Nothobranchius furzeri: one gene and its partners. The protein of the gene in region 2 binds, or shares a complex with, the protein of the main gene of each other region. Links are inferred from orthologs where the notes say so. Each region holds a gene or a part of one and is shown on either strand. Other genes may lie near its edges. The genes, in order: snw1, cwc22, rbm48, armc7, rbmx2, snrpf and snrnp200.

Region 1 (3,562 bases), on a different chromosome or scaffold from region 2:
CAAAGCTTGAAGCTATTATTTCTGCAGCTAATAAAAGTATCAAACTCGACACGAGTCAGGTAACATAAATCGCGCAACAAGCACCGGAACCCCGCTGAGGCGTGACTGAAAGATGACTTTACTCAGACATCTGGGTCTGCTGGGCTGTGGAACAACTCCATGATCCCCCCCCCCCCCCCCCCCCCCCCCCCACACACACACACACAAACGGGGAAAATAAAGCAGACAGGCTGCATAAACCCTGATTAATTAAACAAACAGTGATCTAATCATCACATTAACCGCAGCAACTCCTCATGCTGTGATTGATGGGCTTCTCTGAACGTGTTTAATCATCGGTTAATAGGCTGAATTACTCAGGAACTGATTTAAAGGATGGGAAACTACTAGAACCCGATAATGTGCTTTTACTGTGGTTGAAGATTTAAGCAGGTAACACCTGGAACGAGAAACAGCAGCAAGGAGAAAATGGACCGGATGTGGAAATAAGACAAAATAAAAACACTTTATATGAAATTTATTCCACTGGTTGCAACATACAAGATTTATAAAGCTCGTCTGAATGACTCCCACTCGTTTGTGACTCTGCTGGACAAACTAACTAAGGTTTTAAATAGAAGTTGCTACGAAGACGAGGGGAAAAGGGGGAAAGTGTAAATATGAAGCAGTACCGGCTCCTGCTGAGTCTGCGGTTGGGTTTGGTAAGTATTTACAAAAAAACCTAAAGCAACATTCAGCTAGAGCAGAGGAATGACAGGACTTAGCTGTAATATCAGTTTAATGTACACAACAGCACACTAACAGTTTCTCATTTCCTTCACAGCTCTTCAGCGTAGATTTAATGAGAAAAGGGAAATGAAAACTGACTAAATCGTAACGACGGACCGATGAATCCCTCTTGTGCTGAGCCACAGAAGTCATCTCCCTCTGAAGGGGTCTCACTCTTTCCTGCGTTTCTTGTCATGGTAGTCGTCCTTGGAGCGGGTGCTGGTCGAAGGCCTCTTGGAGCCGCCGTGCTGTTTGGCCTGCTCCAAGAACTTGTCCAGACCGAAGGGATCTTCCTCAAACTGGACCGGCCCGTCTCTTCTCTGGCCGTGGTTCGCACCTGAGAACTCTTTGTCTGGAGCAAACCTGATGAAAGACAAAAAAAAACAACAATCAGTCCTCATCGCCAACTCTCCTCAGGTGTCACATTATGGTGGAAATGTTTCAGCACAAGTGAGACGAGGCACGCATCAAGGTGAACGGACCTGTTGTTTTTCATGAGCGAGTCGAAGTCATCGGCGTAGGCGTCTTTGTCGATGTTCTTGCTGGGCCTGTAGATGTTGGAGGCCATGTCTCTGCCTCCGTGGAACGGCTGATCGTACACGTTGTACGTCTCATCCTCGCCACCAGCAAAACCACTATCCATCCCCTGAAACAAACGGGTAACAGCAGGAGAAACGGGTTTGATCGAAACAGGAACTTTTTAAAACTTTGCTTTGCTTTCCAAATGTGAGTTTTCAGATTTTTGGGAAAAAACTGCAAACAAATTCCATATTTATCCATCTTCTAAGACAGCAGGACGAATTATAACCTGATCTGAATTCAAACGCTTGTTGTCAATTAACTTTATTAAGATTTGTTTTCCAAATGAAATCACCAAAAATCTTCCAACGTCCGAATTGAAACTGTGTGTGCGTGTGTGTGTGTGTGTGTGTGTGTGTGTGTGTGCCAACCTTGCTCTGATTGAAGAGCCTCTGGTCGTACTGAGCCTCGCTGGTGAAACGAGGGTTGGCTTTGCCCAAAGCAATGAGCTCACTGATGTCTCTGTCCTGATCTCTCTGCAGCTTTGACCTGAAACAGAAAAAGAAAACACGGCAAACTGTCAAAAAAAACTACAGAACGGAAGTAAAATTAAACAAATCTGCCAAGAAAAAGACGTTTGTTACATAACAAAGGAAAAGGAGATTATATCAAAACATTTTTCCCTTCCGTGTCTGTAGAACTTTTATTGTTTTACAACTAATTTCAGCTGAAGTTTAAAGAACTTAAACCAGTTTAAAACATTTTCAGATTTCAAGCACGCTAAGAACCCTGGTTAAGAGTTCCTGGTCATGCTAAATATTAATCAGTTCTGGTCATCAGCGAATGAACGGTTGCATCTCCACTGAAGTTCTGAACCGGATCTTTAGCCTCACAATGAAAATATCCTCATTAACAAAACATTTAGCAAATAAATAAACAAACTCCAGGTTTATTTCCATGTTCCGACTTGTTCTTAAAGCAGAATTCAAAACAAAAACCTAGTTCAGATTGTCCCTCAATGTTTGTTTCAGTTTGTTTTACGATGAGATCTGAACCGTTTCTGGAGGAAAGTCATCTGAAACCAGATTTTTCAGCTGTTCAATTCAAAGTAAAAAGCTGAACAAATCTCCTTCAAGCTTGGTGATTCTATAGTTTGGCAGATTTAATTTGGTGTGTGTGTGTGTGTGTGTGTGTGTGTGTGTGTGTGTGTGTGTGTGTGTGTAACCAGTGTCCCTCAGCAAACCGCCACCTCTAAGTGGAGTGAAAGGTAATTTTCAGATAACAAGGTCTCTGCCCTTCTGACAGCTGGAGCTGTGACTGCAATGAGCTCTCCTGTGAATTTCACCCTCTACATTTGTCCTGCCCCCCCCCCCCCAAACCCCACCCGCACGCGCACACCCTCTCTCTCTGAACAAACACCTTGCATACAAAGCTGTTCTGATTCCGTATTAGTGCTGCTCCCATAAATGATTCAGCAGCGAGTCTGTGAAAGAGGAGTACACTTGCGGGGATGAGTGTGCCGCACCTCTTATCGGGCGCCGCCCTGGAAATGTTCCTGTCGTGCTGCCGCTCTTTCCTTCTGTCATGGCGGATCATGTCACGCTCCCTGACCTCGCTGTCCTCACCACCTGCTGTGTGTGTGTGAGAGAGGTGGTGGTGGTGGGGGGGGAATCAGAGGAGGAAGAAGGGTGTAAAATGGAGGGAGAGATGAAAAAGAGTTAAAAAAGGTGGAAAAGTGCAAAACAGAAGATGTGAAGACAGAGGGAAGTGAAGAAGGAAGAAATAAAAGATGTTTGAGCAGATGGAATGGTTATGTCTACCCCTCACAGTCATGTCAACACTAGCAGGGTGTGAATCCCTTCTGCCAGATTCAGAACTGGCACCGATGACAGAACCTCCTCTGCTGGCTCACTAATCAGCACATCCACCAAGAAAGCACTGAAATAAGTTCTGGTCTCCCGAACCTTTGTCCCCGTGGCTTTTTATCCCCGCCCTTTGGTCTCGAGCCATTTGAGCCAGCTCGCGGAGTTTCTCCTCCTTCTTCTCCTTCTCCTTCTGAGCCATCTTCTTCTCCACCTGCGCTCGCATCTCCACGGCCTCTCGAGCCTAAACACACAGCCAGCACTCGAGTTCAAACACACGTTCAAACCTCAGAAAGCACTAGAACATCCATCTTTTCACCTTTCTGTCGGCAATATAGAGCGCCTCGGCCAGCTTGGCAAAGTTCTCATTAATGTGGACGGTTTGAAGACCTCTTCCATCTGCAGCCAAACGT
Region 2 (3,500 bases):
CAGTTAACAAACCACTATCAATGGCTTATTTTGATAAAACTCTTAATTTATGGCTTGTTAAGGTTAGAATTAAGGCATTAGTAATAAGCTCTTAATAAGTGCTTAATACTGACTAGATCAGACTTAGTAGTCCACTAATATGCATATAAACTGGCAGCTAATTAATGGTTAATTTGTGTTCCCCAAACTAAAGTGTTACCGAATAATTATATTATTATTATTATTTATACATCTATAGATCTATTAATGAAAAATATTTTCTGATAAATGCAGATCATAAAGTGTGTGTTCATACGAGTCTTTCAGCCGCTGGTTGAGTTTTGGCAGACCCATGTAGGCACAGAGCTCCTGGAAAAGGATTTTTACAAAAATCCTGCTGGATGACGTTGTCGTGTCCTCACTCATCCTGATGCACTCCAACACCTGGTCGTAAAGAGACAGGGAGCAGGTTTAATCAGCGTTTACTGCGTGCATGTGTGTGCGTGCGTGTGTAAATGAGTTTCTGTGTTCTTACACTCCATGGTATGGAGTCCGTGAAGAGCAGATGAGCAAACAGTCGGGCGACGTTCCTCAGTTTGTTGGTCTCCAGTCGGTGGATCGTGTCGTACTGCTCTGAAAATATCACCTCAAAACTCTCCATGTACTCCTTCTTCAACAAACAGAACCTCTGAACAAATACACACATATTTTAAATGTTCCACCTGCTTAATATTCAAGCTTCTCGCTATTTGACAGTTTAGGCAACAGCACCTAGGATTTAAACATCTCACTGCAAAATCATGATTTCAGCACTTGTTTGCTGCATTTTCACAGAATTCTCAGATTAGGCAAATGAACTCTGCTGAAGTGACTTCTGCTGCTCAGTTTGTTGATGTTACACTTCATCTCAGAGAGCAGGTGCTTGTACTTGTGTCCCAGAAGCTAAACTCAGCGAAACAACGATCAGCATTTTGCTTTAATCCGCCCTCATCTATATACTTAATTGTTAATTTATTTTATCACTCAGCAGTTTCATTCATCAATCATGCAAAATACAATCATCAACAGTCTCCTAAGTGGAAAAAAAGGGGGGAGGAAGAAGTAGTCTTGTACGACATACCCCTTTCTACTTCATACAATATAATTTACAGAATGGCCTTATACACAAAACAAGTACAAAACTTCCTTATCTTAGTAAACAAAATCACAATTAAACGTATCAATATAGATATTCAATATTTACTTATCCGTCATAGGACTCTATGACTTTTTCTTTATATAGTCTCTTAAATTGATCAGTAGTTAAACATTTTTTCAGGTCATGATCCAGATTATTCCATAATTTTACTCCATATACTGAAATACACATTTGCTTTAATGTTGTTTAAGCAAAAACTCTTTTAAACTCAGGCTTCTATTTTTTCCATCATTTAAAATCAAAACAAAAAACTTTTGTAACTTCACTGGCAGTAACCTCTTTTTTGCCCTGAACATAATTAGTAAAGTTTTCAAATTAACCAAATCCCCGACTTTCATAATTTTTGATTCATTAAAAAGTTTATTGGTATGTTCCCTAGCATCTACTTTATATATAATTCTCATTGCTTTCTTCTGTAATAAAAACAAAGGATTAGCGTTTGTTTTATATGTGTTGCCCCAAACCTCTATACAATAAGTCAAGTACGGAACAATAAATGAATAATATAATATATGAAGTGTTGATGACTCCAAAATACTTTTCTTTATTTAAAAGTCAATTCAATTCAATTCAATTTATTTTATATAGCGCCTAATCACGACAAGAGTCGTCTCAAGGCACTTCACATAATAAACATTCCAATTCAGGTCAGGTCATTAAGCCAATCAGAAAAAATGTTTCCTTTATAAGGAACCCAGCAAATTGCATCAAGTCACTGACTAGTGTCAGTCATTTTACAGCAGTCCTCATACTAAGCAAGCATGTTGCGACAGTGGAGAGGAAAACTCCCTTTTAACAGGAAGAAACCTCCAGGGGATCCTGGCTCAGTATAAGCAGCCATCCACCACGACTCACTGGGGATCGAGAAGACAGAGCACACGCACGCACGCACACACACACACACACACCAAGAAATGTGTCTATGGTGTCCAATACTTTTACACAGTTTTTGTTTTATATATTTTATATGGGGTTTCCAATTAATACTCGTCGTCGTCTTCCTCCGCTTATCCGGGTCTGGGTCGCGGGGGCAGCATCCCAACTAGGGAGCTCCAGACTGTCCTCTCCCTGGCCTTCTCCACCAGCTCCTCCGGCAGGACCCCAAGGCGTTCCCGAACCAGATTCTCCAATGTGTCCTGGGTCGACCCGGGGGCCTCCTGCCGGCAGGACATGCCCGAAACACCTCCCCGGGGAGGCATCCAGGAGGCATCCTGACCAGATGCCCAAACCACCTCAACTGGCTCCTTTCGATCCGGAGGAGCAGCGGTTCTACTCCGAGTCCCTCCCGAATGTCCGAGCTCCTCACCCTATCTCTAAGGCTGAGCCCAGCCACCCTACGGAGGAAACTCATTTCGGCCGCTTGTATCCGCGATCTCGTTCTTTCGGTCATTACCCAAAGCTCATGACCAAAGGTGAGGATTGGGACGTAGATCAACCGGTAAATTGAAAGCTTGGCTTTCTGGCTCAGCTCCCTCTTCACCACGACAGATCGGCTCAACGCCCGCATCGCTGCAGATGCTGAACCAATCCGCCTGTCGATTTCCCGATCCCTCCTACCCTCGCTCGTAAACAAGACCCCGAGATACTTAAACTCCTCCACTTGAGGTAGGACCTCTCCCCTGACCAGGAGTTGCAAGCCACCCTTTTCCGGTCGAGAACAATGGACTCAGATTTGGAGGTGCTGATCCTCATCCCAGCCGCTTCACACTCGGCCGCGAACCTACCCAGCAAGAGCTGAAGGTCAGAGCTGGATGAAGCTAGGAGGACCACATCATCCGCAAAAAGCAGAGACGAGATTCTCCTGCTACCAAACTCGACACACTCCACACCACGACTGCGCCTAGAAATTCTGTCCATAAAGATAATAAACAGAACCGGTGACAAAGTGCAGCCCTGGCAAAGTCCAACCCTCACTGGAAACAGGTCCGACTTACTACTGGCTATGTGGACCTAACTCACGCTCCTCTGGTAAAGGAAAGCCACCCACCCCATACTCCTGGAGCATCCCCCACAGGGTGCCCCTGGGGACAAGGCCATAAGCCTTCTCCAAATGCACAAAACACATGTGGATTAGTTGGGCAAACGCCCATGCCCCCTCCATCACCCTTGCAAGGGTATAGAGCTGGTCCACAGTTCCACGGCCAGGACAAAAACCACATTGCTCCTCCTCAATCTGAGATTCAACTATCGATCGGCCCCTCCTCTCCATTACCTTGGAGTAGACCTTTCCAGGGAGGCTGAGGAGTGTGATCCCCCTTTAGTTGGAACACACTCTCAGGTCACCCTTCTTAAAGAACTCCACAGGAACTGCCCCCGATGACCA
Region 3 (4,171 bases), on a different chromosome or scaffold from region 2:
GTTTTTGTAAAAGTCTATTTTGGGCTGTTATTTTTCTTTAATTAGTACTGTTCTAATGTTTTTGTGACCATTTTATTTGTTTGGTGGTAAATTTGCACCCATGTGAAGGATTTCAAGATTTTCCTAATATGCAGAAAGTTTTAGCAGTTAAAATATTGACAGTGTGAGATAAAATAACATGCTCAGGGTTTCCTCTACGATTTTGATAAACCGTGGTGGAGAGACGTGCGGAGACGGTCGCTCTGAGACACGAGCAGTATGCTTTTCGATGAACATTCCTGCAGGTGTGTGTAAAACATCCATCCATCCATTGTCTGAACCCGCTTTGTCCATGTAGGGTCGCGGGGGTGGGGGGTTGGGGGCTGGTGCCACCCTGAACAGAGAGCCAGTCCATCGCAGGTGTGTAAATCAGCTTATTGTTTAATTACAATTAAATAAAAAAAATGTAAAAATATATTTACCTTGAAATAATTTGTATTGCTTGATTCCCACCTTGATTACAGCCATGGGCGGAACTTGATTTCTGTCCATTTTGGGTCCCAGCCAGATTCTCTGTGCTGACTTTTTTCTTCCCTCTTACCGCTTCCCTGCTGCTCTCTCCCTCATCATGCTCACTTATGCATGCTGGTCCTTGTTCTGCCTCTCCACTTGTCTCTCCTTCGCTCACCTCCTGATGGTTGGCGCGCACCAGAGCGGTGTCCTGAGCATGGCGACAGTAACATTCTCAGTGTCTCCACGTATAACACACGATTGTTTATGTCGACTCGTGTCCTTTTTATGCTTCCTGTCTTTTATTTGTGCCCGATGCGTTTTGCTGCTGCGGAGCGAAGCGCATCACCTGTTTTGTCCTCAGGTGACTTCACCACACCGGTGCGCCCTCGCTAATTTAGCGGTCGGTAGATCTTTTTGAACTGCAGTTTAAAGTTTTGTTGCAATAAAATTTATTTTAAACTGTGACTATGGTTAGTACACATGCACAAATATAGACTATATATGTCTCGTTATTGTTTTAATGTATATCCAAAAAAAATGTTTCTGAAGGTACGTTGTTTGAAGTTTTTTTTTTGTTTACTTCTGAAGGTGTGGCAGCTTTTATTTTTCCGTAGTGGCGCGCCACGGCAACATGCACATAGGAAACACAGTATTAGTATTTCTTTAGCTTTCTAAATGTAAATTTGTGCACTCTTTACATAATAGCTGTTTTTTTTAACCTTTTTTATACAGGTTGGTATCATAGCATACAACAGCCGATGAGATAAACAGTTTTCCGAAGCAGTGGGAGCGTCGGTTTTCTTCCAAGACTCCCATCTAGACACCTGTCCAGATCATATCCGACGACGTGGTTTTGTCTTTTTCTCAACAGCTTTGAAACCCGGAGCAGATCCCACCTGAAAAAAAAAAAAAAAAGATTCACATGTTTTAATCCTTCATTAAGGCTGATTTACTTTTTATGAAATTATTAAAGTACTGAATCAACAATGACCTGTTTCATTGTGTTCCTGATCAGGCTGGCAGTTGTGTTCAACGAGTCATCATTCATGTCCAGTTTAGGTGGTTCTGGTAATTTCGGTCCAATCAGGGTCTCGGTTCCTCCAGAAACACTTGCCGACTGCTCGGGAGCCTCTTCCATTCTGCGTTTCCTGATCTCCAAGTGCGAGGACCTTGGGAGAAACCTGAATGCTGAAGCCTGATCTGAGGTCAGTCTGTGTTCTGTGTCGTGGTCTCTCTCTGAGGCTTGGTTAACGCTTAACTTTTCCACTTGGGGCTGTTTCAAGTTTATGATGGCATCATGTAAAGTTCCCATTTTGTCCTCCTGTGCGCTGATCCCATGTGGACTGTTATGTCCAAAGGGATGCTGCTCCCATGGAGGTAATGGGAGAGGAGGGAATTCTGCATGTTGGCTGTGGTTTGAAGCATCCTCTGCACATTCTTTTTTAGAGGTTTGATCGTGTCTGACGTTTATGTCTGATGCAGTCGTCGATGATGCGGAGCCTTCGCTGTGCGCCGCTTTTGCTTTGTAAGAGAAGATTTGTTTTAAAGCATTGAAAAGCAACATTTAAAGGTCAGAACTAAATCAAACATGATGTTAAACGATACCTCTGCTCCGAGCTGCTCTCATAACATAACCCCTCCGGTCCTGTAGCTTTAGCCTGGTGTCTTCTACAGTCTCATACTCTGGGACGTAACACACATGCAGCACACCGCCGTAGAAGCTTTTCTCATCCATGTTGCGTTTGGCTGCTCTGAAACAGAAACATTCGATAACGATTAAGCAGGTATTTCCAGTAAAGTATGAGGAGCGAATAAATCGTACCTGGCGCTGGTTAGCTTCTGGAACTTGATGAGGTAGACTTCTGTAAACTCCTCAGCCGGATACTCGTCCAGAGGTCTGTACTCCTCCACAACACCATACAGGGCACACAGCTGGACCAGCTCCGTCATCACACCGATAGCTGGGACTCCCAGTACCATCAGGAAACGGGACTCTAGGTTAATGGTGTACACCTGGAAATTCACAAGACTAAAGTTACATTTCCTGCGTTCAGTGCAGTATTAGAATGATGTTACCAATTAAGCTAAAGCAAATCTTGTGTGTCTTCTTTACAGAATTTATGAACATTTTAGCTGAAATTAATAACTTCTAAGATTGTCTCACCTTAACCGCTTTAGCTCTTCTTCCTTCTCGATACTTTGGTCGAGAAATGCAAACTTTCTGCTGTTCGTGATGTTTGTGAACGTCAGGAACTTTCCAACAACCGGAGCTGTTGTTTACAGGGACCGCCATGCTTATTCTAAATGCTGTTCCGGTTTAACACTTTCAAAATAAATGCTTTTAGTTCAGTGAATGCGTCTGCACTTCCGGTTTAACACTTTCAAAATAAACGCTTTTAGTTCAGTGAATGCGTCTGCGCTTCCGGTTTAACACTTTCAAAATAAATGCTTTTAGTTCAGTGAATGCGTCTGCACTTCCGGTTTAACACTTTCAAAATAAACGCTTTTAGTTCAGTGAATGCGTCTGCGCTTCCGGTTTAACACTTTCAAAATAAATGCTTACAGTTCAGTGAATACCGTCGCGCTGCCTGTTAGAATACTCTTTTATTTTGAAAGCAAAAGATCAACTACTTTTGCCTGGTGAGGAGTCCATCGTCCACAGAGCACATCGATAAATCCAATTGCTCTCTCTGCCTGGTGTATGCTAAGCTAGCTAGCAATGCGAAAATTATGTTTAGCAACCAGGGAATTCAAGCCGTTCGTGTCGTTTTTAACAACACAAAAAACTGCTTTCTTCACCTCCCTTCCAAGTTGGTAGCGCATCTTTCCTTGAACGAGGTAGGTTAGCTAACTAATTTCATGTTGATTTACTGCTTTTTAGATCATTTCTGTACGTTAAGACTTAGTTTTAATGTATAATGTCTGTGCTAGCATAAACAGATGACAGTTTTTAAACGACTAGCCGGGTTGTCTTATGCTCAGATGAAAGTACTTTTGTTTGAGATTTTATAAACATGCAAAGCAAACAGTTACCTAATCAACGACAGCTGCTGGTTTTTAGGATTTTCAGGTGAATTGCTTCCTTGACATCTATGTTTGCCTTATTTTACTGCATTAGAGACTTAGAGAGACACACTTAGACTACTGTAACTCTCTTTTCACGTGTCTGAGCAGAACCTCCCTGAACCGTCTACAGGTGGTTCAGAACGCCTGTGCTCGGCTTCTGACCAAGTCCTCCAAACGCACCCACATCACCCCGCTTCTCCTCCAGCTTCACTGGCTGCCAGTCAACTTCAGGGTTCATTTCAAGATCCTGGTTCTGGTCTATAGAGCCTTACATGGACAAGCACCATCTTACATTGGTGATCTTCTTAGTCCCTACACCCCCAGCAGGTCCCTGAGGTCCAGTGATCAAAGCCAACTGGTTGTGCAGCACCAGGCTAAAGGTCAAAGGTGACAGATCATTTGCTGGTGTGGCCCCCAGACTGTGGACCTCTCTCCCCCTGAGCCTGAGATCAGTGGACTCAGTGGTCTCCTTTAAAAAGCAGCTGAAAAGTCACCTGTTCAGGCTTTGGTGGGACCTTCACCACCCTCTCCTTGTTCTGCTCTTTGCACTTATTCCACATTTCCGTGATCCACTGATTTCCCGCTTCCCTATTCATTTTCTCTCTCCCTTTCC
Region 4 (4,213 bases), on a different chromosome or scaffold from region 2:
ATCCCGATGGCCGTCTGCACCCCCTGCATCTGCAGCTCAGCCTGTCTCACCTGCTCCTGGCTGCAGCAGTCCTGCAGGAAGACCGAGGCCAGGTTGCGCAGACGGGGGCTCTCTGCGAGTGAGAAGCGCAGCATGCACTGAACGATCCCTGGCTCTGTGATCTGAGAGCAGGTCGCTGGTGTGGTGAGGTTCATCAGGGTGGTGACGGCAGACAGCACCGTCTCCTCCCTCCGGTTTGACAGGTGGTTTGTGATCAAGCTGATCCCATCGTTCTCCAAGATGATGTCTCTGCATCCAGGGTCCATACTGAGGTTACACAGACCCCCTGTCAACACAATATTTGAGTTTAGATGATTTTTACATAAACAAACATGATTTACTGTTTTAGTTGGAGAGATGCTCACCCATCCCAAACTCCACAAAGTTCTCATTCTCTTCGGTCAACATGTCCAGGAACAGGTCAGGAACCTGCAGCTCCCTCAGGTACTCCATGTTCTTTGGGTCATATGCAAAGTTGGCTAGATTTGCCAGAACCTGCTCCTTTGCCTCTGATAAAGAGAAAAAGTAATGAAACAAACAGAGATACCTACATCCACTAATTCACCTTACACCAGCTCATTACAAACAATGATAAACAGAGGCTGCAGCACAGAAACAGTACACATTTATACCACAGGGGGCGCTTTTTACTTTCACATCAAAACACCCTTCAGGCTCAAATGTGGAGCTGACAGTATAAAAATAAGATTTGTCTGTAAACTAGAAAGGCGAGGCAGCTTTATTTGTGTAGCACATTTCATACACTGAAGCTATTCAATGTACTTTCCAGGTGCATGACCAGCATGATCATAAAAGATTAAAATCAACGTGACGACGTAAAACAGCAGCTTTTAAATTCAAATTTTAAATACTCTAATAAAATTAAATGTAAGAAATAAAATAAAAGACAAAGTTAAAGACTGAGCGCAGAAGGTACAGCATGAGAAATAATCCTTCAAAGGCTGATGAATGCATGAAAGTCTTCCATTTTGACTTAAAAGTTACTAGAGTTGGGGCACATTTCAGGTCATAAAGAAGCTGATTCCATCTGTGAGCAGCATAGTAGCTAAAAGCAGCTTCACCCTGTTTGGTTCTGACCCGAGGTTCTACCAGCTGACTGTTTCCTAAGGATCTCAGAGCCCTGCTGGGTGTATATATACAGGAAGGAGATCCAACATGTATTTTGGCCTCATTTATAAACTAGCAGTAGCACTTAGTAATCGTTTCTATAGTTTAATGGCAGCCAGTGTAGATATTTACAACTGGATGGATGGATGTGGAACTAGCGCATTATTTAATTCATCACATTATCTGGCTACTTATTTTTAACACCGTTTTTTTAAAAATAAAAACAAGCAGCTTTCTGCGGTAAAATCCAACAGAAAATGTTTACTTATGGCAGTAATCTCAAAGTGAACTAACATGTAGAATGAACAATCAGAATTTGGTTAAATAACGTCACTTTTTGGTTTCCAAATACTAAGCTTACATTTATTTCATGTCACAACGATACACTTTCAGAATAAAACTTAAAACGCTGCTTAGAATTACAGCTTATTTGATGTATTTGTTCACTTCTACCTGATTTAGTCATGTTTACAGATTCTTTTTCGAAAAATTTTAACTTCATGAAGTCATTTGCATGTATTTGTGATCTTTTTGTCTTCTGAACACAATTCTAATGCTGATAGTCAGCCTTTCTCCTATTGCAATGGATAAAAACTGGTCTAACATATATACAAATGTTCTTTTGACGATTTTTTTTCTCTCACTTCAAATAAATATACTGATGGAGAGTACAGTTTTCGACTGAACAACGGCTTCTGAAAAAGCCCTCTAACGATATAAATAATAGTGATGTGTCAGTCCGAACGAACCGGCTCTAAGAGTCGGCTCTTTGAAGTGAACAACGGGAGCCGGCTCATCATTGGGAGCCGTCCCCTCCCCTCCCCCCTCCCCTCTTGCTTTGGTGAACGCTACAGGCGATTGGTCAACATGTGTAACTGTGTGACCAGACTGTCCACACACAGAGCAGTAGGGACGGGGAAGAGGGAGAATCAGACTCAGACACACAGCAGAGCACATGCAGGTGGAGGTAGACGAGAGGGAATGAGGAGGAAAAAGGTGAGCGAGATAGAGAGGAGAGTGTGATGAAGACGGTGAGAAAATGAGCGCCAGCAGTCGGAAAGTGACAATTTCTTAAAGTGTTCAGTTATTAAATCCATAGAAATTATAAATATTTGATATATTGCATTTTTTTTTACATTAGTAAATAATTTTACATATAGTTTTGCATTATTTTGGTTATAAATGTACTCTACGAAACAGAAAATCTGAGGAGCCATTTGGGAGCCGAAAGAGCCGGCTCTTTCTGGTGAGCTGAGCCATTCCCATCACTAATAAATAATAGCATGCATCTAAACTGAGGGTGTTGAGAGTCTACGTGTTCGTTTTAAAACGGTTTTTATTTTAACTTTGTAGAACACAGATCAAAGGTTATTCCTACCTTCACTGTCAGTGTCCTGAAATTCAGTAACCAGCGTCTGTAAATATTCAAACCGTTCAGGCGCTTCAGCTGACTCATTTCTCTTCATCTTTTAGCAAAAACACATTTAACACTTCAAATAAAATTCACACAGATATCAGATTATGCTGATGTTTAAGTTACTTGACCGTTCATAGCTGATTCAGAGGTTGTTTTCATTTCACGTATGGGTCCGCGGCTCATAAGTGTTCGGAAAAACTGCGCAAGTAGATATTTGTTCCGCTGTTTTATCAAAACTTGTTTGTCCGTGAAGATGTGTTCCCCGTTCACTTTCGCATGATTTAAAGAGTAACGCATTTTTAGCTACACGAAATCGTAACATCGTTGCTATAAACTCGCCTATAACGTTATAAATGCTAGCATTGCTGTCACAATTGTGCAATGAAATACGCGAGAGCTACGCGAGCCGATGAGGAAACACATTTTAAATGGTGTACAGAGATTGATACAACACCGGCAGCTGAGCGGAAGTTAAGGAGCAGAAGGTGTGTTTGTGTTTATGTGCTCGTACAACAGCACATAACGCACGTTGCGGGAGGTCAGCTTAACAAAAACGCTATGTCGCTTTGTTTATTTAAGTAAAACAGCAACAATGAATCACCACCGGCTGTCCGCGAGAAAGCGCCTCGCCAAACCCATTTTGTTCGGAACTCTGCTGGTTGGACTCGCCACTATTTTCATTAACAGGTGAAACTGAGCTTTGCTAACTGCGTAAAAGAAACACACGCACAACACATTTCACTGTAACACCGGTGTGACGGTGAAACTGTCATTGGAGACTGAAGCAAAAATATTAAATACTATGAGTTAGCAGCAAATCGTAAACATATTTGCTTGTCGTTTATGCAGACACAGGTTCCTTGAAGACGTGGTTGAGCTCAAGGCCCAGGAGCGAGAACGCAACTATGCCAGGATGATGGAAGTCCTGGAGAGGAGGGAGAAACAGAAAGAGCTGGTGGAGAAGAAGAAGCAGCAACAGACAGGAAGTGACTGAACATATGAACTTTTTGCAGACGACTGATGCTTTACAGGCCATCAGACATTACAGTCATCCAGTAAATCAGTAAATTATAAGACTGGATGGAAGTTCAGCTGAGCAGGAACCACGCTTTTAAATTTTGACACTCGTGTTGGTCAAGCGGGAGCAGAATTAACCACCATCTACATAAATAGCCTTATTTTTAACTCGAATCATCTTTAATTTGTCTTGTTTTTTTTATCTTTGTGATTACTGTCTGTGATGGGTGTTATATAAATAAAATGTACTTACTATCTGGGAAAAACAGACTAAACCCCTAAGCCAAACAGAAACAGTGGGAGAAAAATATTACTGGATAAACGATTTTTTTTTTTATCAGGGTTGAATTAAAACCAAAGTATCAGGACTTGTATTTTGTCATTAAGGTGTATCAAGTCTGAGATATAAATTTTAACTTCATAATGGAGAGGTTAGAGAAGATTTTGAAGTTTTAATCTCAGTTCAGCTCAAATTAATATGCTAAAGTTTAAACTCCCATTACAAACAAATAAAATTCAATAAAGACTTCAATCACATCTTTTATTGGTGCATGCAATAAAGACATAAACAAAACAAACAATAATTCATATTGCACTTAAAATAACAAAAAG
Region 5 (3,974 bases), on a different chromosome or scaffold from region 2:
TCAGGTTTGTTTTACTTTTGACTCTCGAATCATCTGCATGGTTTCAGTCCAGTTCCTCAGACAGTAAACAGACGCCGAAACATCGTTGCTTCATCCTGATGTGACTTCTAATCTAGTGGTTCTGGTTTGACCTACTCTTCGTGTTTGGGTCAAATCAGAACTCAAAACAACACAACAGTTTGGGTCTAAATGTGTCCCAGACTGTGGAGGCGTTACCGTGACGACCAGAGGTTGGTCTCCAGTCAGCGCTGTGACCTTCTCATAGAAGATGTTGACCACATCGTTTCCTCTTTGGCCTCGGTCTGATTGTTGGCTTGGGTTAAGCTCTAACTCCTGATAGGGTAAAGTCTCACGGGACTGGAAGCAAAAGGATACAGTCCTTGTAGATGAGATGGTCCCCCTTGGAGGACAGGATGAAGACCTGAGAGATCATCCTCCTGAAAGGAAGATCACAAGCACAAGATTAATGATAATGATAACTAATATTTATATGGAATATCACACCTTATTGATCATTTAATAAAAGTGACCACTTCCGTCACGTTACAACATGTTTATCAGAGTTGGAATAAAGCCAAATCCTATCTAATTTATTGTATTATAAGTGTTAACAGCACTGTTGTGTACTGGTGAGAACCTGCAGATAAAACTACAGAAGTTCCGCTAACGGAAAGGTGGATCTGTGAGGGGTTACAGCTGCTGTACTCGCCTGCGGAAGGTGTGGGGTCTACCTGGAAGAACCAGATCTTACTGCGGCTATTTTTAACAGAACTTCAAAGGAAATGAAAGCACGGCTGGTGCTGCTTTGGCTAGCAGTAAGCTATAGATAAACTTTAATAACTCACAGGGCCGCAGTTTTCAGAAACGCTGAATACAACCAGATAAGCTCATTGTCTGCAGGGTTACAAAGCTAACCTGACAGAAAGGTTTTGGGTTTATATTCAGGTTATAGCTACGGTTTACGACACGGCTCCGTTAGCATGTAGCCCCACAGCGCTCCCTTGTGGACAGGAGGTTGAATGAGGATTGCATTAATAACTTTATATTTATTAACTTCACGATGAGTGAACTCATAGCTACGTAAGAAATTGCTTCAGATACATCAACCTAGATGGTTTGGGTGTGTTATATAAACCCGAGAGAAATAATCTGCACATGTTTAATGATCGCTTGTAGTTTAGATCTCCAAACTGCAGAGGGCAGCAGAGACGAACCAAACGGAAGTGGTCTACCTCAACAAATAAAACGTCTGATCTGTGCCCTAATTTCTGTAACTAACTATGAAGTAAGTACATTTATGTATTCATAAATGACACGAACCACCGACACAACACTGTTCTACTTCTTGTCGTGTAGTTAAAGTAAAAAGAGCGAGTTCGTTATTCTGCGGTTTGATGACTGATCCTGGTGCAGCATGCTAGCTGTTAGCTAGCTCCTACTCGTAGCCGATCGGATTCTGCTCAAAAAACAGATAATTTAACATTTTTTCCTTAAAAACCAGAGAGAGCATGTAATAAAACATAAACACCCAGTTGTGTTTGGGATGTAGCATGTATCTTTGATGCTTCAAGAAGACATTTGATCATGTGTAGGTTGGCTATTGTTTTGTTTACACCCCTGACCTTCTACTACGTGTTTTATTCTAGACCAGTGTGTCTGATAAAGTTGACTAATAATTTATGTCAACTGCTGATGAAGACAGGACCACAAGCTTGGTCATATGTGGTGTTATCTTTTTCTCATGAATGTTTCTACGTCTGCTGCAAAAAAAAAGATCATTCGACTAATAAAACACACCACTCCGATCGTATTTACCCCGGAAGTCAAAGGGGACACATTTACATGTATATCCAGCCATTGTCTGAACCCGCATATCCTCACAGGGTTCTGGGGGGCTGGTGCCTATCTCCAGCAGTCTCTGGGCATGCAGGCGGGGTACATCCTGGATGGGTTGCCAGTCCATCGTCCATCGTAGGGCAGCCCAGAGGCACACAGGACAAACAACCATGCACAGCCACCTAAGGATGATTTAGGCAGACCAATCAACCTGACAGTCGTGTTTTTGGACTGTGGGAGGAAGCCGGAGTACCCGGAGAGAACCCACGCATGCACAGGGAGAACATGCAAGCTCTATGCAGAAAGACGGGCTGGGATGTAAACCCAGGACCTCCTTGCTGCAAGGCAACAGCCCTCAGAATTAAAATGTCAAATTTAAATCAAGCCAACAAGTGAAACGGAGCAGCTCGACCAGGAACACCGTGGTCCTGCTGGAGGAACAGGATTATGCCTGCTGCTGCTGAAGGGTCATTAGGGTCAGGCTCAAGGTTGGGGTTGAATAGAAAAGCTCGACTCTTTTTCTCTGTAGTCCAAACAAAAAGCAGTTTTTCTTTCTAAATTGTCCTGACAGCTTTTCACAATAAAACTCCAATTGAGTCAGAATCAGGTCCAGTCCCTAACGGGACGATTTACTGAGCAACTTGTGTGTTTTCAGTCCTCTAACGAAGGTGAAGCTGATTAACGAGCTGAATGAGCGCGAGGCTGACCTCGGCATCAGCGAGACCGTCTCCTGGCACACAGAGTACCGGGACAGTGCCTGGATCTTCATCGGTGAGAACTCCTCAAACCCAGCCCTTCACACGTGGAGACGTTGGGATGAGTTTGGTGTTTTGGGCTTTTGGAGACGATTTGCTTCTGTTCATTAACAACATAAAAAGGGATCTCATGAATGAAACTGTTGAAGTGGGTTTGTTTGGTTCTGATGATGCTTACGAGGTCTCGTTTCCTGCAGGAGGGTTCCCCTTCGAGCTGACTGAAGGAGACCTGATCTGTGTCTTCTCCCAGTACGTACATGCTTACGTCTCACCTGCTTTACGTTATAGCTGACATGACAGTGACGTTTGTCTCCTCTCGACAAACCTGCCAGGTACGGAGAGATCGTCAACATCAACCTGGTGAGAGACAAGAAGACGGGGAAGTCTAAAGGGTTCTGCTTCATCTGCTATGAGGACCAGAGGAGCACCATCCTGGCAGTGGACAACTTCAATGGCATAAAGGTGACTTCCTGTCCTCACCAGGTCCTGGTGTGGACCCAGCGCCGCTCCTTGCTGGCCCACAGCGGCATCAACATGGTCTCTGATGAGACAATTAGCTAAAATCTTTTTGTTGTTGTTTAAACGTTCAGATTAAAGGTCGAACTATCCGCGTGGATCACGTTAAAAATTATCGTCCTCCCAAAGACAACGAGGACATGGACGATGTGACCAAACATCTCAGAGAAGAGGGCTGTGCTCCCAAAGGTCCTACTGTTGTCCCCTCTTCCTCTGAGGAAGAAGAGCAGTGCGTCGTACCTGCGAAGAAGCCCAAAAAAGGTGAGGTCACTTCCTGTTACCTGAAAGTCACCTGATCTAGGACCAGGTGGACTTATTTCCCTTTTCTGTCTCAGATAAGAAAGAGAAGAAGAAGAAAAAAAAGAAAGAGAAGAGGAAGAAGAGCAGAGCTCCCTCTTCATCACCTTCTCCTCCTCCTGCAGTCTTCAGACTGAAAGAGGAGAAGCAAGACGCCGCCTACGACAAGTACAACCACAAGGAGGTGCCTGCAGGGCAGAGGACGAGGGACACGGAGAGAGGAAAGGGGACAGACAGGAATGAAGACAAGTGGAGGAACTGTGAGAGAGAGGTGGACAGAGACAAGGACAGAAGAGACGACTATAGGAGACAAGAGATGGACAGAGACAAAAGACGAAGAGAGAGGGAGTGGGACGAAGACAGAAGAAAAGACGGAGACAACAGGAAACGGGAGCCGTATAGAAAATAGACAGGTTGTGATTGGCCGATCCATGGTGTGTGTGTGTGTGTTTTAATGTTTCGTATTAAAATCTGACCTGAACACCTGATACACTTCATGTCTGATGTCCAACACCTGAGGACGGGTGAGACTTTTACAAAGCAACACGTTGGCGAACTCGTGAAGCATTT
Region 6 (4,119 bases), on a different chromosome or scaffold from region 2:
CCCTCGGGGTTGCTGCAGGAGGACGCGGGTATTTATGAGAGGAAAACGAAAGTAAATAAATGTTTTGTGATCAGTATAATTCGACAAAACCACGGCAAACATGCTTTCTCGACAATCCTTGTTATTGTGTGAGAAAATAAAGTGTAGAAATTAAAACGGACGTGTGTTAATAGGGAAACAGCTGGCGAGCCATGATTGCGCATGCGCCGTGAGCGGTTCTGGTTCTGTTTGGGCCGCAGCCACTCGCAGCGCTACTTCAACAGTTATCCTAGTTTTTGTCTGGCTTGCAGGCTCGTAGATTCTCACACCGGGGGAAATTAGCTCAGGTTGTTTACTTATTTTTTGCACAGGCATTTGTTTACTGTGAAGTAAAGTTGAAGTGCTGAAGTTTTGCAAACTGATTTTGAATAAAACTTGAAGAATAACTGGCAATAGCGTACTCATTTTAAGAGGTCTTTCATATTTTATAACATGCTATTTGATATAATGGTTTACAAACACAAAAGGGTCATTTATTAGAGTACTCGATTAATCGATAAAAGATTTGATAGAGTACTCGATTAATCGATAAAAGATTTGATAGAGTACTCGATTACAAAAATATTCGATAGCTGCAGGCCTAATTCCTGCATCTATATTCTTTCCAGTGGAGGTTTATGGATTAGACTTTTAAAAAGCTGTTAGAACTTCATCAACTGCTGTTGAACTGATTTGCATTTCGCTGACAACTGGGTGCATATCCTAGATATTGTTCCCAAATATACATGCAAACATTTGAAAACACACCCTGCTTTGGGAACATTTGTATTTTACTGCTGCTGAAGGATAAATAGGCTGCTTTGTTAATATTAATAAGTAAAATTATAATTACATGAAGTTTCCTTAGACATTTTGGAGCCATGACTTTATTCACTTCAGTCTCTTTAGCAAAAATTCCCTCAAACTGATCAAACAACGCCCCCTGCTGGACACGAAGATAAACACCTTTCAGCAGTCTGACTATGATCTGAAGTTGAACTGATTAAAGAACATCAGTGAGCCCTGGTTCTGCATGTTTTAGTTCCTTACCTGCTCCAACACACCTGATTCAATAGCTTAATTCTTCTGAAGCAGCTCATTATTCGCCTAATGACTCAAATCAGGTGTGTTGAAGCAAAGAAACATAGAAAACAAGCAGGATGATGGGTCTAAAGAGCTGAATTTTCCTGGGGTACAAATTTAATTTTATCATTTATTTTGATTTGGCTTAACCAAATTTATGATAATAAAGAAGTCTGACACAGATAAAACCACACAATAAAATCATCAAGCAGTAGCAAATCCTGAGCAGGTATACAAATAATTAAATGGTTTATTTTTCCATGTGAGAAGATTCTGTGGTTTGGTTGTTAGGAGGAGAAACGGCACCCACCTGCATGTTCATGTATCCATCCACAGACACCAAGTAGCCTTTATACTCCATACCCCACTTCAGCTTCACCATCACAGGTTTTCCCGTCAGGCCGTTCAGGAAAGGCTTCGGGTTCAGAGGTAAACTCTGTAGAAGAAGAACAGAGGTCAGCAAAGCCATTACATCCCACACTACTGAAGAAAATTAAATGCATTTAACGACTACATTTCATGAATTTGTAACGCTGCTGAACAGCAGCGTACCCCCAGCCGTCCGTCCTACAACACAGATACTCCTCACTCCAACATGAAGGAAATCCGGATTCAATTAAACGTTTTTGCGTAGAATCCAAACTTTAAATCTACTGCAAAGTAAATCATTTTTATTGACTTTACTAATGAATTACTTAATGGCCAAACAGCTGTTTAACCAATCTAATTTTATTCATAAAAAACGTTTAATGAATCAGCGCAACTGATCTGTGTAATAAAACAAGCTGTTAAATCCTAATAGTGTTATTTTTCTTTAAATTGCATTATTTTGTTCAATCACTATTAAATTTTAATATGTTCTCCCATAACACAAAGGTTAATCCGGGTCAGGTGGTTTAATAAAAAGGTTTAAATGCTTTACTGCTGTTTTATTTACCTGCAGCGTCAGCCTGACGAAGTTTGCAGCCGCAAACGAAACGTTGCAGGCAAATAAAACCTTTCTGTGTTTTAAAAATAACTAAAAGATGGAATTAGAATTTCAACACAGCAAGCACACACCAAAGATGCTCTTAGCTCATTCTGAGTCGCTTGTTTTAAACCGATCATCTCTCTTAAGGCTAGCTACAGGACACCGTGGACTTAAAGGCCTGAGGAGTTAGCTCACATTATAAAGATTAAATAGCTAAAGGTCGAGAGACATATTATTAATATATATTCATTTCCTTATGGAAGCTTTTGATAAACGATCTTAGCGAAATAGTTTGGACTTTATTTTGCCAGGAAGCGAGGGGATGCTAGCGGTTGATGTAGCCTCTGCGGTCTTTTCTCTTGTTTATTAACAGTGATGAACGAGTAGACGGCTTACAACCCAAAGGGAATAAGAAACCGAAGATTTATAACACCAGTTTTGTGTTAATATGTGTTTGAGGGTGTGAAAGGTCTAGGTCGAAGTTATGAATGAAAAGCTAACATGGCTAACGCTAAACAACAAAAATACACTGAATTAAATCCTGATAGTTCATTCGCAAGACGATAAAGATATACAACGTCTTACTCACCATTTTATATCAAATTAAACAGCTTTAATAAGCTAAATCAAAAAAGTAAAATATGTTCGTCTCGATAACGTTTGCAAACCACGAAGCACGCTTTACCGCCGACCGGAAGTACAACTTTCCGACCTGGGCACGAGTCTCCGTGCTTTAAACAGCGCCTCCCAGTGGCCGGATGAGCGAACTGCTACCCAAGTGATTTAGTGTAAAGCTCCAAAAGTTTCCCCTCTTCCTCTCATTTACAGTCACCCATTGAACAGTAAACTGTGAGCTGATAAACGAAACGTGAATTAAACACCTACAATATGTATGCACGATCTCTGGGGTTGATATGTCAGTTGTTTATAGAGTATCTGCTATATGTTCGTGGCACGATACAGAAATAAAGTCCAGTCCAAAAAGTTGTATCTCCTCTACATTCACAAAAGAAAATGGCAAAAAAAATCAGTTATTAAGTCCAGGAAAAACTAGTAATAATTTTCTTCAAACTCGTTTTCATTCTCAGCAACAAGATCATGTCATCTGCCTTGAGTTGAACTCCTGCTCTATTTATGTCATGCAGGATCAGTGACTGATTGAAAACATATCGGTTTAGGAGCTAAACCTGGCACGACTGTCATAACTGGGTCATGCTTGCTCTCTGCAGCTTTGTTTTTCTCCAGGCACAAGAAGCCCGATGTTTAAAAAATGTTTTCTGCTCTGAAGCGTTTGTCTGTTACCAAAAAGTCAGGCAAGTTCAAACCTGCCATGGTGAATAAAACCGAAATCTGACTTCATTCAGCAAATGGCTGGGTTTTGTCAGAAAAATTCCTATGAAATTGCTCTGGATCTCTCTCTGCATGTTTGAAATACTTGTTTCTTTACATCACTGAGTATTTTCCCGACCTCACCTTTCCAACGTGTAATTAACCCGTCCATCAGACAGTCTGGTCTCAGTTATGGGATGGAGACGGTACGCGAGGTTTAGAGAAGTGGCCAGTCAGAGGGTGCATGAGTTGTATGAGAACTACTGTTGGCATGAGGCGTAATAAAATCTGTTACAGACAGACAGACCGACTGAACCGATAAAGAAAGCATAATATATTTTTCATGTGTTTAAAAACGTATTTAGAGCTGCAAAATGATGAAGAGACACAAATAAATTTGCAGTGTTGCAAAAACTGTAGTCACAAGAAAGTAACTCGTGCAAAGCAACCAAAAACAAAAGGGAAATTATTTATTAATTAAATATGATTTTAAAATAGCAAAATTAGTCTTACGAGGCTATAAAATAAAAAAGATGACATTTTCACCAAATGGTCACAAAGATTAGAAGTTATGAAATAAAAATCATTTAAATTAGTAACAAACAATGAAAAGAAAACTACAATTTATTCTAAAAGACCAATAAAATCAGCAAAACGACCACAAAGAGACACAAAATTACATAAAAGCGATCAAAGTTACCAGAATGACAACAATCACA
Region 7 (4,245 bases), on a different chromosome or scaffold from region 2:
TTCACTGGAAGATGGTCCACTTAACGCACGGGTGTAGACTACATATTAATGACAAATGAATGAAAATTAAATTGTGAGTTTTTACTTCATATTTTAGAAATTAAAATGACGGGGGAACACGTTTATGACGTCTTTTTAAACTAAATTTTCTAGCGCGACCTGCCTGCTTCACTTAAGTCACTGCTTATTAAGGTCCGTCCAAAATTACCATGGCCCACCCAAAAATGAAAACCTGGCGCCGCGCCAGTTATAAACCTCTGCAAATTGTTGTTCTTCACGTTATCAAACTTAGACTTTGTACAGCTAATGTCAAGATGTAAAATTATGAATTCAGTCGAGCTCTTCCGTCACTCCCTCTCCTGCTCTCCTGGAAACCCGACATCGGCTGTTAGAAGCGGAGGTGAAGAAGGAGATGAGGCAAACAGAGTGAGTGCGACATAAAGAAACCAGACTGGTGTGGAGGTGAGCAAAACAGCTGGAAAAGTGTGGGCGTTGAATCCCCCACGGGTGCGATGTCCATGCGAGCGACCTGTACCTGCTGCTGTCACCTGGTTGTGAGCAGCCCTCTGCTGTCTGAGGGTAGGCCCCGCCCACAACGCTGCGGCTACTGCGGTGTTTTCTTTACTGTGGGAAACGGGTAATAATGGCTCTTTGATGGGAACAGGTTGCTGACCCCTGAGCTGGTAAAACAAAAATCCTCATCAGCAGGCTTTTTTGAAAGTGGGGGGGACACAGCTGCCAATCACAAATTTTGCCGGGGACATGTCCCCGGCGTCCCCGGTTAAACTGACGCCTATGTTTATTTTACGTAAAACTTCACACGGTCCCAGTTCAATTCAGTAACTTTATTTATTAATTCCCAATTCACAACAAAGTAAACATTCCAATTGAACCTAATAATTAGTGCAATTAATTTAGTTTACCACTGAGACTTGTTAAAAGTTTCCTATCAAAGGAAACCCAGCAGTAATTGTGACTTTGACACAATCATTTCCCCACGGAGGGACAATAAGGACATTTTCTATTCTATTCTAAAATATTTTGATTTTGTCATCATATAGTTCTTGGTTTCATTAAAATTCATCTGAAAGACCAATCAGTGGTACATCAATGACACATCTTTTATTCAGAGGAAGACTTCTTTTTGTCCCCCTTTCTCTATTTTTTGTTTGTTGACTTTGTACAGTTTAGAGCCTGTACTTTTTACTTTTTACTAAATAAAGACGGTCACTAAATACTTTTACTTTTACCAGAGCATTTTTATACAAAAATGTGTACTTGTACTTCATTAGAGAACGTCAGAACTTTTGCCATCTGGGTTTCGTGAGATTTAGCCATCGACATGTAAAAATATCGAATAACATCCAAATTGAATGATTTACACCAAGCCTCTAGAGGGCGCTGTTTACCTTTTGTGTCTGTTTCATTCCCTTTGACACCGGAAGAGGAAATTTCTGCCCACTTGTTGTGCGCTCGTGCTAGCCGTGCTTTTGTTACGTATGAAAAACGCTACTTTCTGTTTGTGAGTAAAAGTGGTTTAATGTTTGAAATTAGAACACGCTACTAATGTTCACAGCGTTTTAACAAAAGTACAGAGTGACGTCAGCTCTGTGAACTTCACTAGTGCGCGTGCTGGTTCACAGAGAGCGGTGAACCCCGGAGGAAAAGTGGCACCATGGCGGATGTTACTGCTCGTAACCTGCAGTATGAGTACAAAGCGGTAAGTATGTTGGGTGTAAATATAATAACTCGGGGTTATTAAACGTTTCTGTGACTAGTGATTTCTAATTATGATGTTTAGTGGATCGTGTTGCCGGAGCCGAAGCAGCTCAGCCCGCTGAACTGATGGGTCTCATTTAATTGTGTGTTTGTAGAACTCAAACTTGGTGCTGCAAGTCGATCGTTCTCTGATCGACCGCACTCGGAGAGATGAATCCACCGGGGAGGTGGTGTCCCTGGTGGGGAAAATGGAGGGGACGAAGATGGGTGACAAGGCTCAGAGGACCAAACCCCAGAAGCTCGAAGAGAGACGAGACAAGTCAGTGCAGCTAACACTGATGTTTTTAAAACCATTTACCTGTTAGAATCGAGGTACAGGTGGTGTTTTCGTGTGTATGATTCTTATACAATTTAAAACATTCTATAATTTACTTGAACGTTGAATAGATCACATTTAACATGAAATATACCTCAATTAGGACAGTAATAGAATTATTCAGATTTAAATGAAATGAAAAGAACCGTCTTTGACCTTCATCCTCCTTTAATTGTCATTAACAAACGTGTGAAGCATGTAATTGCACCATATACTTAAAAGGTGTAGTTTTGCTGTTTGAAGTGGGGTTTGATGTGGAACAGCTGCATATGTTTAATCTGTAGGAGACAGCAGATTGATTGCAGTTTAGAGGAAAAAAATCTGAACTATCCCGTTTTATCTCACAACAGGAGACGTAAAAGAGATGAGGACAGACATGATATCAACAAAATGAAAGGCTTTACCCTCCTGTCTGAGGGCATCGATGAGATGGTGGGCATTGTGTACAAGCCTAAAACCAAAGAAACCAGAGAGACGTACGAAGTGTTGCTGAGCTTCATTCATGCTGCGTTAGGAGACCAGGTTAGTGAACGTCACAACACTTAAGACTTTTGCACTGTTGATGGCGAACGCACAGCTGATGTGAACTCCAATTGTCTGCAGCCGCGTGATATTCTGTGTGGAGCAGCTGATGAGGTGTTAGCGGTGCTCAAGAACGACAAAATGAGGGACAAAGAAAGGCGTCGTGAAGTGGAACAGCTTCTTGGACCTTCTGATGACACGCGCTATCATGTGCTGGTCAATCTGGGAAAGAAGATCACAGACTATGGTGAAGACAAGGACCTGCAGAATATGGGTAAGCTACTTTAAAATATCTTAATAAAGTGTTTCGTTTATTTGGTGACCATGTTCTCTTTAAGCTGTTATCAAATCATCTAAATCTTTTGTTATTTATCTGCAGATGACAACATTGATGAGACGTACGGTGTCAATGTCCAGTTTGAGTCTGATGAAGAAGTACGTTTTAATTATTAATGTCTTAGTTGTATTTAAACTGATTAAAATGAAAAAGTGATTTTTTTTCCCCCCGTCTTGTTACTTATATAAAGGAAGGAGATGAAGACCAGTTTGGTGAAGTACGAGATGAGCACTCGGATGAAGACAGTGAAGGAGAGGAGGCTGTTGTGTCCACTAGGCTTACAACCAATGTAAGTACAGCCTTTTTGTTGGTTCAGGTGGTATTTCCACAGTTTTCTTCTCTCTGATTTAAAAATTGAATTCTGTTTTGTTGTAGCTTAGCGAAACGGGTGGCGTGATGACGGTGAAGAAAAAAGACCTGCACCCTCGAGACATTGACGCCTTTTGGCTCCAGCGTCAGCTCAGCCGCTTCTATGATGATGCTATTGTCTCGCAGAAGAAAGCCGACGAAGTCTTAGAAATCCTCAAGGTGGGATTTTCACTGTTTTTATTAGTCACGCAGCATAACGTAGCATCTTTTGACACCTGATGCCTTTCTTGTTCTACAGACCGCCAGCGACGACAGGGAATGTGAGAACCAGCTGGTGCTGCTTTTAGGCTTCAACACTTTTGATTTCATTAAAATCCTCCGTCAGCACCGTCGCATGAGTAAGTTGCGCTCGTTGAATTGCGCTGGGCTATGATGTTCTGTTGCACAACTTATTTGAAGTTGCTGGTTTTTATCTTGTCTGACTCACAGTTCAGTATTGTACCATGCTGGCGAGCGCTCAGAGCGAAGCAGAGAAGGAACGCATCATAGGAAAGATGGAGTCTGACCAAGAGCTGTCCAAGATCCTGTACCAGCTGCAAGAGACGGAGAAAGAGGACATTATTAGAGTAAGACATCTTGGTTTTGAACTGTTTGTCACCACTTTGCAAGAAATGATTTTCCATATTTTGTTTTTGTTATTCAGGAAGAGCGATCTCGCAGGGAGAGGGTGAGGAAGTCTCGTGTTGATGACTTGGAGTCAATGGACATTGGTCATGGAGAGGTAACTAGTGTGACATGGTCCAGGTAGCCGGGTAAAAGTGTGTGTGTGTTGAGAACATTTGTGTTTCTCATCCTACAGTCGGTAGTCCCTCGGCAGGTTCTGGACCTCGAAGACTTGACGTTCACTCAGGGTAGCCACTTCATGGCCAACAAACGTTGTCAGTTGCCCGATGGCTCTTTTCGTAAGCAGCGCAAAGGTTAT

The links.
Region 1: cwc22 (region 2) and snw1 share a complex: the UniProt entries of both Homo sapiens proteins name them as parts of the minor spliceosome. The link is inferred for Nothobranchius furzeri from reciprocal best matches to the Homo sapiens genes CWC22 and SNW1.
Region 3: cwc22 (region 2) and rbm48 share a complex: the UniProt entries of both Homo sapiens proteins name them as parts of the minor spliceosome. The link is inferred for Nothobranchius furzeri from reciprocal best matches to the Homo sapiens genes CWC22 and RBM48.
Region 4: cwc22 (region 2) and armc7 share a complex: the UniProt entries of both Homo sapiens proteins name them as parts of the minor spliceosome. The link is inferred for Nothobranchius furzeri from reciprocal best matches to the Homo sapiens genes CWC22 and ARMC7.
Region 5: cwc22 (region 2) and rbmx2 share a complex: the UniProt entries of both Homo sapiens proteins name them as parts of the minor spliceosome. The link is inferred for Nothobranchius furzeri from reciprocal best matches to the Homo sapiens genes CWC22 and RBMX2.
Region 6: cwc22 (region 2) and snrpf share a complex: the UniProt entries of both Homo sapiens proteins name them as parts of the minor spliceosome. The link is inferred for Nothobranchius furzeri from reciprocal best matches to the Homo sapiens genes CWC22 and SNRPF.
Region 7: cwc22 (region 2) and snrnp200 share a complex: the UniProt entries of both Homo sapiens proteins name them as parts of the minor spliceosome. The link is inferred for Nothobranchius furzeri from reciprocal best matches to the Homo sapiens genes CWC22 and SNRNP200.

Annotation. Positions count from the first base shown.
Region 1 is NC_091742.1:20,657,740-20,661,301, reverse strand, and holds the end of snw1 (SNW domain-containing protein 1), read right to left. Parts: coding exon 3,469-3,562; intron 3,394-3,468; coding exon 3,252-3,393; intron 2,919-3,251; coding exon 2,813-2,918; intron 1,837-2,812; coding exon 1,719-1,836; intron 1,415-1,718; coding exon 1,251-1,414; intron 1,132-1,250; coding exon 939-1,131; 3' UTR 501-938; downstream 1-500. UniProt on the Homo sapiens protein: Involved in pre-mRNA splicing as component of the spliceosome. As a component of the minor spliceosome, involved in the splicing of U12-type introns in pre-mRNAs.
Region 2 is NC_091754.1:30,044,086-30,047,585, reverse strand, and holds part of cwc22 (pre-mRNA-splicing factor CWC22 homolog), read right to left. Parts: intron 668-3,500; coding exon 515-667; intron 424-514; coding exon 296-423; intron 1-295. UniProt on the Homo sapiens protein: Required for pre-mRNA splicing as component of the spliceosome. As a component of the minor spliceosome, involved in the splicing of U12-type introns in pre-mRNAs. Promotes exon-junction complex (EJC) assembly.
Region 3 is NC_091759.1:22,195,839-22,200,009, reverse strand, and holds rbm48 (RNA-binding protein 48), read right to left. Parts: upstream 2,801-4,171; 5' UTR 2,786-2,800; coding exon 2,657-2,785; intron 2,506-2,656; coding exon 2,315-2,505; intron 2,244-2,314; coding exon 2,098-2,243; intron 2,014-2,097; coding exon 1,484-2,013; intron 1,389-1,483; coding exon 1,326-1,388; 3' UTR 403-1,325; downstream 1-402. Other genes in the region: peroxisomal ATPase PEX1, read left to right, coding at 3,223-3,330. UniProt on the Homo sapiens protein: As a component of the minor spliceosome, involved in the splicing of U12-type introns in pre-mRNAs.
Region 4 is NC_091756.1:50,515,025-50,519,237, reverse strand, and holds the start of armc7 (armadillo repeat-containing protein 7), read right to left. Parts: upstream 2,801-4,213; 5' UTR 2,768-2,800; coding exon 2,708-2,767; intron 2,634-2,707; coding exon 2,546-2,633; intron 549-2,545; coding exon 405-548; intron 326-404; coding exon 1-325. UniProt on the Homo sapiens protein: As a component of the minor spliceosome, involved in the splicing of U12-type introns in pre-mRNAs.
Region 5 is NC_091750.1:26,772,697-26,776,670, reverse strand, and holds rbmx2 (RNA-binding motif protein, X-linked 2), read left to right. Parts: upstream 1-1,174; 5' UTR 1,175-1,280; coding exon 1,281-1,285; intron 1,286-2,491; coding exon 2,492-2,607; intron 2,608-2,788; coding exon 2,789-2,840; intron 2,841-2,923; coding exon 2,924-3,053; intron 3,054-3,181; coding exon 3,182-3,368; intron 3,369-3,442; coding exon 3,443-3,813; 3' UTR 3,814-3,892; downstream 3,893-3,974. Other genes in the region: ap4m1 (AP-4 complex subunit mu-1), read right to left, coding at 217-302, 376-437. UniProt on the Homo sapiens protein: Involved in pre-mRNA splicing as component of the activated spliceosome. As a component of the minor spliceosome, involved in the splicing of U12-type introns in pre-mRNAs.
Region 6 is NC_091741.1:34,923,132-34,927,250, forward strand, and holds the start of snrpf (small nuclear ribonucleoprotein F), read right to left. Parts: upstream 2,801-4,119; 5' UTR 2,664-2,800; coding exon 2,661-2,663; intron 1,538-2,660; coding exon 1,412-1,537; intron 1-1,411. UniProt on the Homo sapiens protein: Plays a role in pre-mRNA splicing as a core component of the spliceosomal U1, U2, U4 and U5 small nuclear ribonucleoproteins (snRNPs), the building blocks of the spliceosome.
Region 7 is NC_091757.1:37,093,425-37,097,669, forward strand, and holds the start of snrnp200 (U5 small nuclear ribonucleoprotein 200 kDa helicase), read left to right. Parts: upstream 1-1,445; 5' UTR 1,446-1,675; coding exon 1,676-1,720; intron 1,721-1,874; coding exon 1,875-2,038; intron 2,039-2,445; coding exon 2,446-2,617; intron 2,618-2,698; coding exon 2,699-2,891; intron 2,892-2,996; coding exon 2,997-3,052; intron 3,053-3,144; coding exon 3,145-3,243; intron 3,244-3,329; coding exon 3,330-3,482; intron 3,483-3,561; coding exon 3,562-3,661; intron 3,662-3,752; coding exon 3,753-3,889; intron 3,890-3,966; coding exon 3,967-4,044; intron 4,045-4,122; coding exon 4,123-4,245. UniProt on the Homo sapiens protein: Catalyzes the ATP-dependent unwinding of U4/U6 RNA duplices, an essential step in the assembly of a catalytically active spliceosome. Plays a role in pre-mRNA splicing as a core component of precatalytic, catalytic and postcatalytic spliceosomal complexes.